Linked DNA regions of Caenorhabditis elegans. The protein of the gene in region 1 interacts with the protein of each later gene in a pairwise test. Each region holds a gene or a part of one and is shown on either strand. Other genes may lie near its edges. The genes, in order: hlh-10 and hlh-2.

Region 1 (4,277 bases):
CCTGTAGTATGATCAACACACGGAACAAATTATGAAACTTAATTTATGCAGATTTTTCAGATTATTAGTGTAATAAATTGAAATTTTGGTATATTCATCAATTCAAAAGTTAAGACCAATCTGTACTAAAAAATATGTGGTGTGGGTCTCATTGAAAACTGACGTTTTAAATGAATTCAGTAGGTCTAAAAAACTCACGAACTGGTTATTTTATCGAAGCTACTCAAAAAATTCGAATACTACTAAACATGAATTCCGAAAAAAAACTGTACACTTTCAATAGATCACCTCCAGAATTTCGATAGAAACAGGAACATAATTTTTCAGCCTAGTGCTAAAATATGTACTGCTTACGAGAAAGGTAAACTTGCTCCTTAATTTTCAATCGATTTCGTCAGCAAAAAAATAATTTACAGATCTTAGACTGAAACTTGTAATATTTCAATCCTATTCAAGTCAAAAACTTATTCTGTTTTTGCTATTATATTATATGAAATTTTTATGAGATTTCAATTTTTATTTAAATTCAATAACAAGAATTTATAATAAAAAAAAAGTTCATCGGAAATGGTAAAACGATGACATCAAACAATTATAAACCGAAAAGCTGGAAACAACAATACGGTTTTTGTTAATCACAGAGATCAAGTAGAATGAGAACAGGGTTGGAAATATTCAACAGAGTATTGTGTACTTTTACTTTCGTAACGTTTTTGCACATTCCAATTCGACTTGAAGTTGTTTTTTAAATTCTTCTTCGTCGTTTGAGTTTTCTTGTAAAATAGCTCCGAGATATCCAATGTAAGAACTTGCAACCTAAAAATGCAATTTTTAGAAGGGAAAATTATGCGTTTTACAAATATTTCTGTGGTTTCCCACCTTCCCGTTTTTTGGCTTTTGTCTCAATCTTTTTTTTTTACAAATCGAAGACAAATTTTAATTGACCATGAAAGTATTTTTCTTAAAACTTTCAGTATACCTTCAACGTAGCCAACTTTGATATTTTTGCGTCATCCTCTATTGGAAGGCAGACTCTCAATTGATCAAACATTTTTGAAAGTTGTTGAACTCTATTTCTTTCTCTTGCATTGGCTTCATATCTGAAACTGTTTAAAACAATGGAAAATTGTCTCAAATTTTATAAATTTTATGAACTCACCTTCTCGTACACATTTTTCCGACCATTCTTCTATCAATCTTCCCAGTGGAAGTTCTTCGCCTGCTATTTTGAGTTGGACTTGGAGTAGACTCATTTTCGTCATTAACTTCTGATTTGTTTTGCTTAACGAGGTCATTTTCCTTTGTATCATTTTCTGGTGGCTCATCTTGTGTTAATTGAGGTTGAGATGCAGATGCTTCAAGCATGGACTGAAGAAACCAAGCAAAAAGGTTCTGTTGTAAAAACATGCCACATGATTCCATCACTTGCATGATCTGCTGCTCATCGGACAGTTCTCTAAAAAAAGGAGTTGGTATCTTATTTCATGGTTTGACATCTACATCTTTTTTTTGTCTAGCAGTTTTCTTTTTAAACGTCTTTTTTTGGTTTTTTTGTTTTCAGAAGCACATCATCAATATTAAAGATTTAGAATTCAAAAGGAGTAGCGACAGTGGAGAAATTGTTGAAACACAATTACATTATGACAAAATGATAGAATGTCGTAGTGAATCTTTTCATTATTTTTTTGATAACTTTTTATTTACAGTCAAAAAGTGTTTATTACCCAGTTTTTGCCACTTTTCTCGAAGTCGTCTATTAAAAATGTTTACCTTTGAATTTTATGGTCTACTTATGTTTCACATATTAATATTCAAACGTTGCAGGGAGTCGAACATGCGGCAATGGTATAGTTATCTCAAAAAGTGACAAGAACTCGGTAATTACTACTTTATCACTGTCAATAAACATTTTCCGAACTCCACCTTCAAATTTTCAAAAATAATTACACTTTTTCTCGATCATAGCCATACTTACGAGTTTCCATGATTTCCAGTTGACAAATCCAATGGCTCTTCTTGATGAGTTGTCATACTTGAAGATTCCATAGTTCTCGAAATTGTGCTATGAAAAGTAGACCACACCCGGAGCCTGACAGAAGGAAATACGAATAAACGAAGGGTGCGTGTGGTTGAGCGTACGGGAACACCTGAATATGACAGGTGATTCGGCTTCTTTCAGAGACAGACGGCTTCGCCGGCTGTGTGAGAAAAGCATCACAAGTGGTGGTGAAAGAGACGGGAATGGAACAACATAAGGGGGTTAAGAAGAAGGGATAAAGAGAAGCTATACACAATACTATGGAAACCCTAACAACTAATTATAGGGATGAGAGAAGAATATGATAGGGCGGATGGATAATGCAAATTTATTGCAACAGATTTCTCCATGATTTCTAAAAATAACTTCTCGCTGATTTGTACCAGTGGTATCAAGGAGTTGTGAGCGGATAGGATACTTATCGTCTTTAAATTCTTGCAACTTTGATATTTTTAATTGCTATCTTTTGTGAATTTCGATAAAATAGATACCAGAAGAGATCTGAAGGTATAATATTTTAGATACGTTAGGATCAAAGGGCTTCTGCCCGACCCATTCCTAGAAAATTAGAAGTTCTTAAACTCGCGCTGTACGAATTCCGAACACGGGAGTTAGCTTTATTTATCAGATATGTTCATAAAATAGATGGCAGGCGAGTTTGAAGTAGTCTTTGAATTATATCCTACATTTATCCGAAAACTCTTACAAAGTTCAACAGAACACTTCGGATTTGTTCTTCTTGTCTTCTAATACAACTAAATTGAATGTGAACATCTATGAGCATTTGACTTTTCCTTTTCCCGTCTTCCCTTTCTTATATTAGAAATAGTCGTCGGCGTCTTGATGGATGTGAGTTTATTAGACAGCACAACGATGTCACGTCAATAGGTCAGATGGGCCATACTATGTATAATTTTTGCAGCGAAAGCAGTTGGAAAGAGAATAAGAATACGTGTATAGCATAGAGCCGAGAGTGAAAGAATCGTTCTGAATATAAATGGAATGGAGGATTACCTACAATGGTGTATGAATGGGATGAGCGAAGATCGCAATTGTATGTATGTATTTATATTCTAGATATTCGCTTAATAACCTTAAGTGGCACATGACTATTTAGAAACCCATTGTACAAAATTACCATATTATCAAAAATTGTGCAATCTCCCCAAGATATTTTTATCTACCTAACAACCATAAATTGATGCCTTAAAAAATGTTTTTTTATTGAAATAACCTTTGAAGACGTATTATGCAAGAATAGGCATTATGGAGTTAAGGGTTTGGCATTCGACTGGCGGATGGATGAACAGATGCCAATGCACAATGAGTCCCAGAACAGACCTCATCTCCTTCCGAAAGTTCACAGCTGTGGTTTGACTAAGATTGACACATTTTCGTTTTTCAATTTGACATTTTGTTCGTCCAGTACTCTGAGTACCTACATGATAATTTATAGACTTCTGGCTATTGAAAGAAATGTTTAAATAGAAGCTCCAGGGCTCCGAAAAAGTAAAAGTAAATGATGTGCAAAAGCTCTGTGCGAGTAGCAGCTGGGTATATGGAAACAACATGCGCATTCTCTACCGATTAGACACAGATGTGCTCCACCACGAGCACAGCTTGTGCTCCGCGCCATAGTCCTCCTGACTCTCCTTCTCAATCTCCACATCCGTCTTTTCTCTATTCGAAACACGAATCATCTGCGTTTGTCAGAAAAAACCTCTAACAGATTTTAATTTTCCAGAAGTTGAAAACTTTCAATGCTCCTGATTATATCAGACTCCTGCTGTTTCCTCACTGCCGCACCTTGCCACTCTCTCAACTTTTTGCCCTCCCTGTCTATTTGCTTTGTGAAATTGGAAAAATCTGGTCTCCGGATGGGAGACTCTTCAAATTAAAAATATTCAGTCGCTGCTCTTAGTCAAACAAAAATACATCAAGATTTAGGAACTTAGGAAAAAAATGGTTTGGTGAACTCTTCTCAAGCCTTGATTTTTTCCTATGTTCACTCAAAAACTGGATTTTTTAAAATTTAAATCAATTTTAAACCTGTATACATTAAAAATTGTTCAATGATCGATTTTCAAGAAATTAGAAAGATTTATTAGCCTATTCAATAAAAACTCAGAAAGTTTTTTGTTGAAGATTTCAGTTCAAAGCAACAGTATCAGAAGAAGGCACTTTTATAGAATACATAATATAAAATAAAATATGGAATAATGAATTGATATAATGTTAT
Region 2 (5,735 bases), on another chromosome or scaffold:
ATGGTGCTAAGACTACCAAATTATGTTTTTCTTCAACTTATTTGGTTCTTCAGATCATTCTCCTCTTCGGCCTTTCTGTTTCCAAGTCCAGTTGCATGGAAACCACATGAAATATTAGCGACAACTGCTGACAAAAACTACACTGTTGGAAATATTAAAGAATTCTTTCAAGACATTAATTACATGGTTGGATGGGAACAATACAAACAGGCCGCCCGTCTGAATGGAAATTTAAGTTCTCCAGGAGTTCCAGTTCATTGTATTTATGGAACAGGAGTCCCCACACCGGAAAAGTTTTCATGGGCTCCCGGATACTTTCCAGATTATCCACCAACTGAATTCATGGGTGATGGAGACGGGACAGTGAACAAAAAATCAGCTACAGTGTGCACTAATTGGATTGGAAATAATAATGGTTATAAGGTTACTGTACACGAAGTATTTCAAGCTGATCACATGGCAATTCTTAAACATCCAAATGCAATTGAACTTGTCCGAAAAGCCATTTTCCAGTTAATTTGAGTGATGCAAAAAGGGTTCTGAATTTTAAAATTTTGTTTGTTTTGATCAAGGTGAATGAATTATGTTTGTATCACATTTTTTCCCGTTGTTGACATTTTATACATCCAATATTCCTATACATCAGTTTTGACAGACCATGAAAAAAACATCTCGTTTCAACGACTTAGAAAGTCAAACTAAATGTCTAATTATAAATGGGAATCCCTTTCAACATAAAGTGGAATCCATACTGCGAAGGACATTAGCACTTCATCGGAGCTTGGATAATTAAAGTGTTGAAACAGTTACCCAATAGAGTAATTCATGTGTGAAATTAGTTGGCGGTGTCTTTTTTTTTGAGTGGACCATTTCATTTCAAGTAGATACTAATTAGCTATGGTTTATCACATACACACACACAAAAAATAAGACAAGTTGGAAGAAGTTGATTGAATGAATGAATAATATGAAAGTTAATTTTAATACTTGAAATATTAGAATTAGCTATTGATTGATTTAAATTTAGAGGAGAAAATAAATTAAAAACATACAGAAAATTGTGATGATCTTGTAATAAAGTTTAAAATTTTTAAAACTGAAAACTGATTGAAGTTGAGAAATCACAGGACCTCCAATCCGGAGGGAGATGAAGGGGAACATTTGAATAGTTTGAACAAAAAAACAATATGCTAGAGAGTTTTAGCCGTATGGATGATTGGGAGAAGATTGGGAATGATAGTTTGAAATGCTTAAAAAGTCAATTTTTAAATTTAAAACCGTGGATGTCCAAACTGCGCGGATGGTGCATTGTCATCAAGCATCTTCATTTTATCATCATCAGGTTTCCTTTTCATTCCAGCCATCACTTTTGGATTCATATTTCGTTGACGAACCTGTAAAATTATAAATTTCAACTTGTTCAGTGTTTTGTTTAAATTTTTCGAATAAATTCCATCGCAATGTTATGTGCTTCAAAGTCAAAAATACAGCAGTCGAACAATTGCCAATTAATTTTGTTCACAATTTGAATGTTTCTTTAAAATATGAAAAATTATCTAACCTGTTCTTCCAATTGTGTAATCACAGATACTGCATTGTGTAGAATTCCCAATTTTGTTTGATTCCGTTCTGTATTCTGATTGTGCTGTGTGCACATTCGTCCGAGCTCTTTGAATGCCGAATTGATGTCACGAACTCGTACTCTGTAAGTTTTTTGTATTAGATTAGATTTGGAGATATCTCGATTAAATTACTATGTAATTGTCAATTTCCAATGTTCAATTCAAAACGTCTTAAAAGTAAAAAACTCCTCACCTTTCTCGAGCATTATTCTGTGATCTCCTATCCGTATCTTTGTCATCACTCATTGATTCATTATCAGAAAGCCTTGAAGACGATGAATGGCGAGTTGGAATTCCAGAAGATGGAGGGCCTTGTACCCGACGACGGCTCGTTGCTCTTGATGCAGACTTATCATTTCGAACAGATGATGCACTTGATCCTGGTGGCATTCCGGTCATTCCTGGATATCCATTTGGATCAAAGTGTGGGCTCATACCGGCTGGTGGGAATTGATGATTGTAGTCAACCAAGTTGGTATCTCCACCAAGACCATTCTGCAATATTTCATTGTTTTTGGTTTTATAATTTCTATAACCCTCATCTAAAACTACTCAACTTTTTCTCTCAATGAAACAAAACAAAGAATTAATTTCATTTGCCTTGCTAGTCAGTTAATTCTCTCAAATGGTACTATTGGGGGCCGAGTCAAATCAATCGATCTCTTTAATGTACTGAACCCCGCAATGTGACCGTCTCTGTTCACCACTTAATCATGCGGCGACGTCGGTCAATAGCCCCCTTCGGTTTTCGAGGACACCATCAGAAAATGTGACCGGCTATTGGGTAACAATGCAAAAAGCAAGAGCTTCAAATTTTGGCCAATTTAGTTATTCACTAGTCAGAGGTTGGATACAGGGATTTTACCATATTATTCTAGATTTCTCAAGACTGGAACGCAAAAAAATGTCATCAGGGTCTCAAAACTTTGTTCACGACAACAGTAGTTCAGAATCTTAATGTTTAGTATTGTCATATGGCAAAAATTATTTTAAAGAAAACTGAAAGAATCTCAAAAATTTCCTCCAACAAAAAAAGCGATAAACTTTGCCTAATTATGTAACTAATCCATCTTTTCTGTATGTTTCTCCTTGTTTTATGTTTACATTAGTGACTTTTTTGGAGGTCGTTTAGTGCGCACAGGGTGTTCTTCTCAAGAAGATGCCGCCTTTTGCATGCATCTCAATCTTCAGAAGGCGGCGGCTCACATCAAAAGGAAGCGGATTATGCATACGTGAATGCTTGGCGGCTGAGGAGGGCCAAGCAATCATTCGTCGAGATTAACTTGTGGTAAAACAGTAAAACACGAATAAAACCAAGAAGAATAGAAACGTACCGGCTGTCCAGCAAGTTGCTGCTGATACGATGAGAAGTCGGCAACTGATGGATCAGCACCAAATGTATATGTTGGAGGGATTGAGATGTATGGATTAACAGCTTCACTTGCTTTGTTATCTTCTGAAGGTGGAAGGTAACCTGGATATGTTTGTGGCCATGTATACATTGATGACATTGCGTCAATTGGTGCGGTAAGATTAGTAAGAGGCTGTGGAGCAACAATCGCTGATGTTTCTGCAGAATTCGTGGCTGGAGCTGTTGTTGGCTTTAACTCAAGCACATCAGTAGTTGAAGTTGGAGCTGGAGCAGTAGATGGAGCCGTCGTTGAAGTGGATGATGTTGCATGAATTGGCTTAATATCAGATGTTGCAGAAGTTGGAGCAGCTACGGAAGCAGGGGTTTCAGTTGGTGGATGTGTTGGAAGGAAGGCTGATGAATAATCAATATCCGTTGTTTGCATCGGAGGATACGGGTTGAGATGGTATCCTGAAAATGTTTATTTAGATGACTTGCACTTGAGAAATGAGATATAAACATTTTGGTTAATAAACTACTTACTAGAGCAAACCAGATTTTTACAAAATTTTAGAACATTAAAAGAGTTATACATTTTGTTTCAACTTAAAGTAAATTTTAAAAATTTGCGAGCTTATAAAATCAACAATTCAACAATTCGAGATAAGTAATACCAAACTTATATCCTTTTTCTGCAATTTATCCAATATTTCTAACTGATTACAAGCGACTTTTAACAAATTCACGAAAACATGTTTGGTTTGGTTTACCAAATGATATAATTGAAATTATAATAGATTTCAAATGAAAAAAAGACTAACCACTCCAATAATCAGGCATCTGAATCGTTGTCGGATCAATATTATAAGGATAATCATATGCATTTGGAAGCATAACCTGTGGTTGAGCAATGGCGGCAGTTGCAACAGTTGTGGCTGACGTAAGTTGGCTATTTGGATCCGCCATTGAGGTTCTGAAAACTTTATTTCTGCGAAATGATATGAAAGACGATTATAGTAGTAATGTCAAAGAAATAAAGTCAGCGGAGAAGCGGGGAGAGGAAAGGGAATAAGTAGGGAATTGGGCTGGAGCAGCAGGTGAAAAAATTAGGTTAGTAAATATATTCTGATTAGATTTTCGTCAAGACAACCCCATTTGAAGAAATATTGAGAATAAGAAAAAGAAGAAAATAATCGATTCTCCTCGTTTGGTTAAATAGGCAAACGAGATCAAAAGAGGCAAGGTAGATCAATAAAGAATAATAATTGTGACGTCACAATAGATCTACTAAGTTCCGGTATAAATTATTAGGAGCAAGTTACTTGAAGGAGAACAATTTGTAGGGAGGTAATGATGTTGAGATGGTATCAAGAAATAGTTGTAAATGTAGATGTCATTGTAGATGATTATCGGATGGATGACATCCCGAAAGAGCAATAAAATAACAGTAAAGGGGTGATGGATCAAAGGGTTTCAGGCCCATCTAAATAATTAGTTTAAATTCAGACGTAGGATAAGATATATATGAAAGCTTTAAACGTGAGCTAGTAACATTTCGGATGCAAATATACATTTTTTGATAAACTCAATAATTGAAAAAAAAACTGCCCTACAATACATTTGCGTTCTTGTTTAAATTCAAAATTGGTAAGGATTCGTAAACATTGTAGGAGTGAGAAAAAGTAATGCAGATCAAAATTATTTGGTAAAAGATCCAAAATTGAAAATTGGGAGGAGAGAAATTTTAATTTTCAAAATCAGAAGATGGGATACATTATGTATTTCATTCAAAATATGTGCTATGTTTTATTACAGTAAGATCATGAACTTGAAAAGCTAGTAAACGGAACAGATTTAGACACAAAAAAAGACGAAAAGAGTGCACTCCCCCCTTCTTAGCGGCTATGCGGGTGGCTAGGAATGGTTCTTCGAGGGTGGTGGTAGTGGAGGGACGCGTATAAAAGCCCATTCAAGGGACATAAACAGTATATTGGTGTACATAGACGCAGACATTCTTTCTCCCGGGGACCGTCTACATCCAAGAGACGCAGAGACGATGATCGGGAGAGGTCACGCCCACAACCATCTCTCTCTACCTCCTGCAGCACACAATCCTCTATTATCCCGGGGTCCTCCATCTCTTCTCCCACCATTCATTCACCAGTCTTTTTTGGGTGAAATGAGAGGAAAATGGGGGAAGGATTGAATGAATAAGGGGATTGAATGAATAGAAGAGGTCAGCTCTCTTGGGGGAAAATGTCGCCACCCGACTGTAGGGAGTACATTCATTTTTGAAGCATGTTATTAGAGTTTTGTAGGGATCTCTGAAATTTTAATTCTTCAGAATATGGTAAGAGTGAGAGAAAGAGTGTGCACAGGAAAGGGGTATATTTTATTAGAATAAAGTTACTCATATTCACAACAGAAGTTTCAGCAATCACAATACTGTGGGACTACTCGAGTCTTCAAATATCTTGAGCCATATCCTAAAATTGTCTCTCTGTGGTAATAAACCAACAATTATAAAAAGAAATGATACTTCCAATGCCCGTCTCTAAAGTGCATTTTTTGACAGATGTTGTCAAAAGTATACGGTACTGGAACTTTTTTCTCGAGAGTATTTGGGGAGGTGTCTATTGTGGGACGGAGTGCAGCTGTCATCAAATTCAAGTGCTCAATGGTTTGGTTAGAAAAAGTTAGAAATACGGTAATAATGACGAATTTGTTCTACAAATATGATTAACTAAATGGTGATACTTATT

Evidence for each region.
Region 2: the proteins of hlh-10 (region 1) and hlh-2 interact in a two-hybrid assay, tested with the Caenorhabditis elegans proteins (2 studies listed by BioGRID).

What each region holds. Positions count from the first base shown.
Region 1 is NC_003283.11:9,280,006-9,284,282, forward strand, and holds hlh-10 (Helix-loop-helix protein 10), read right to left. Parts: upstream 2,206-4,277; 5' UTR 2,047-2,205; coding exon 1,976-2,046; intron 1,457-1,975; coding exon 1,160-1,456; intron 1,101-1,159; coding exon 980-1,100; intron 817-979; coding exon 697-816; 3' UTR 507-696; downstream 1-506. UniProt on the Caenorhabditis elegans protein: Probable transcription factor which binds the E box motif 5'-CA[TC][AG]TG-3'.
Region 2 is NC_003279.8:7,189,969-7,195,703, forward strand, and holds hlh-2 (Helix-loop-helix protein hlh-2), read right to left. Parts: upstream 3,953-5,735; 5' UTR 3,940-3,952; coding exon 3,795-3,939; intron 3,445-3,794; coding exon 2,957-3,444; intron 2,118-2,956; coding exon 1,816-2,117; intron 1,704-1,815; coding exon 1,562-1,703; intron 1,395-1,561; coding exon 1,272-1,394; 3' UTR 820-1,271; downstream 1-819. Other genes in the region: plag-15 (PhosphoLipase A2 Group), read left to right, coding at 54-522. UniProt on the Caenorhabditis elegans protein: Transcription factor which binds the E box motif 5'-CA[TC][AG]TG-3'. Plays a key role in the anchor cell/ventral uterine precursor cell (AC/VU) decision; required for VU fate.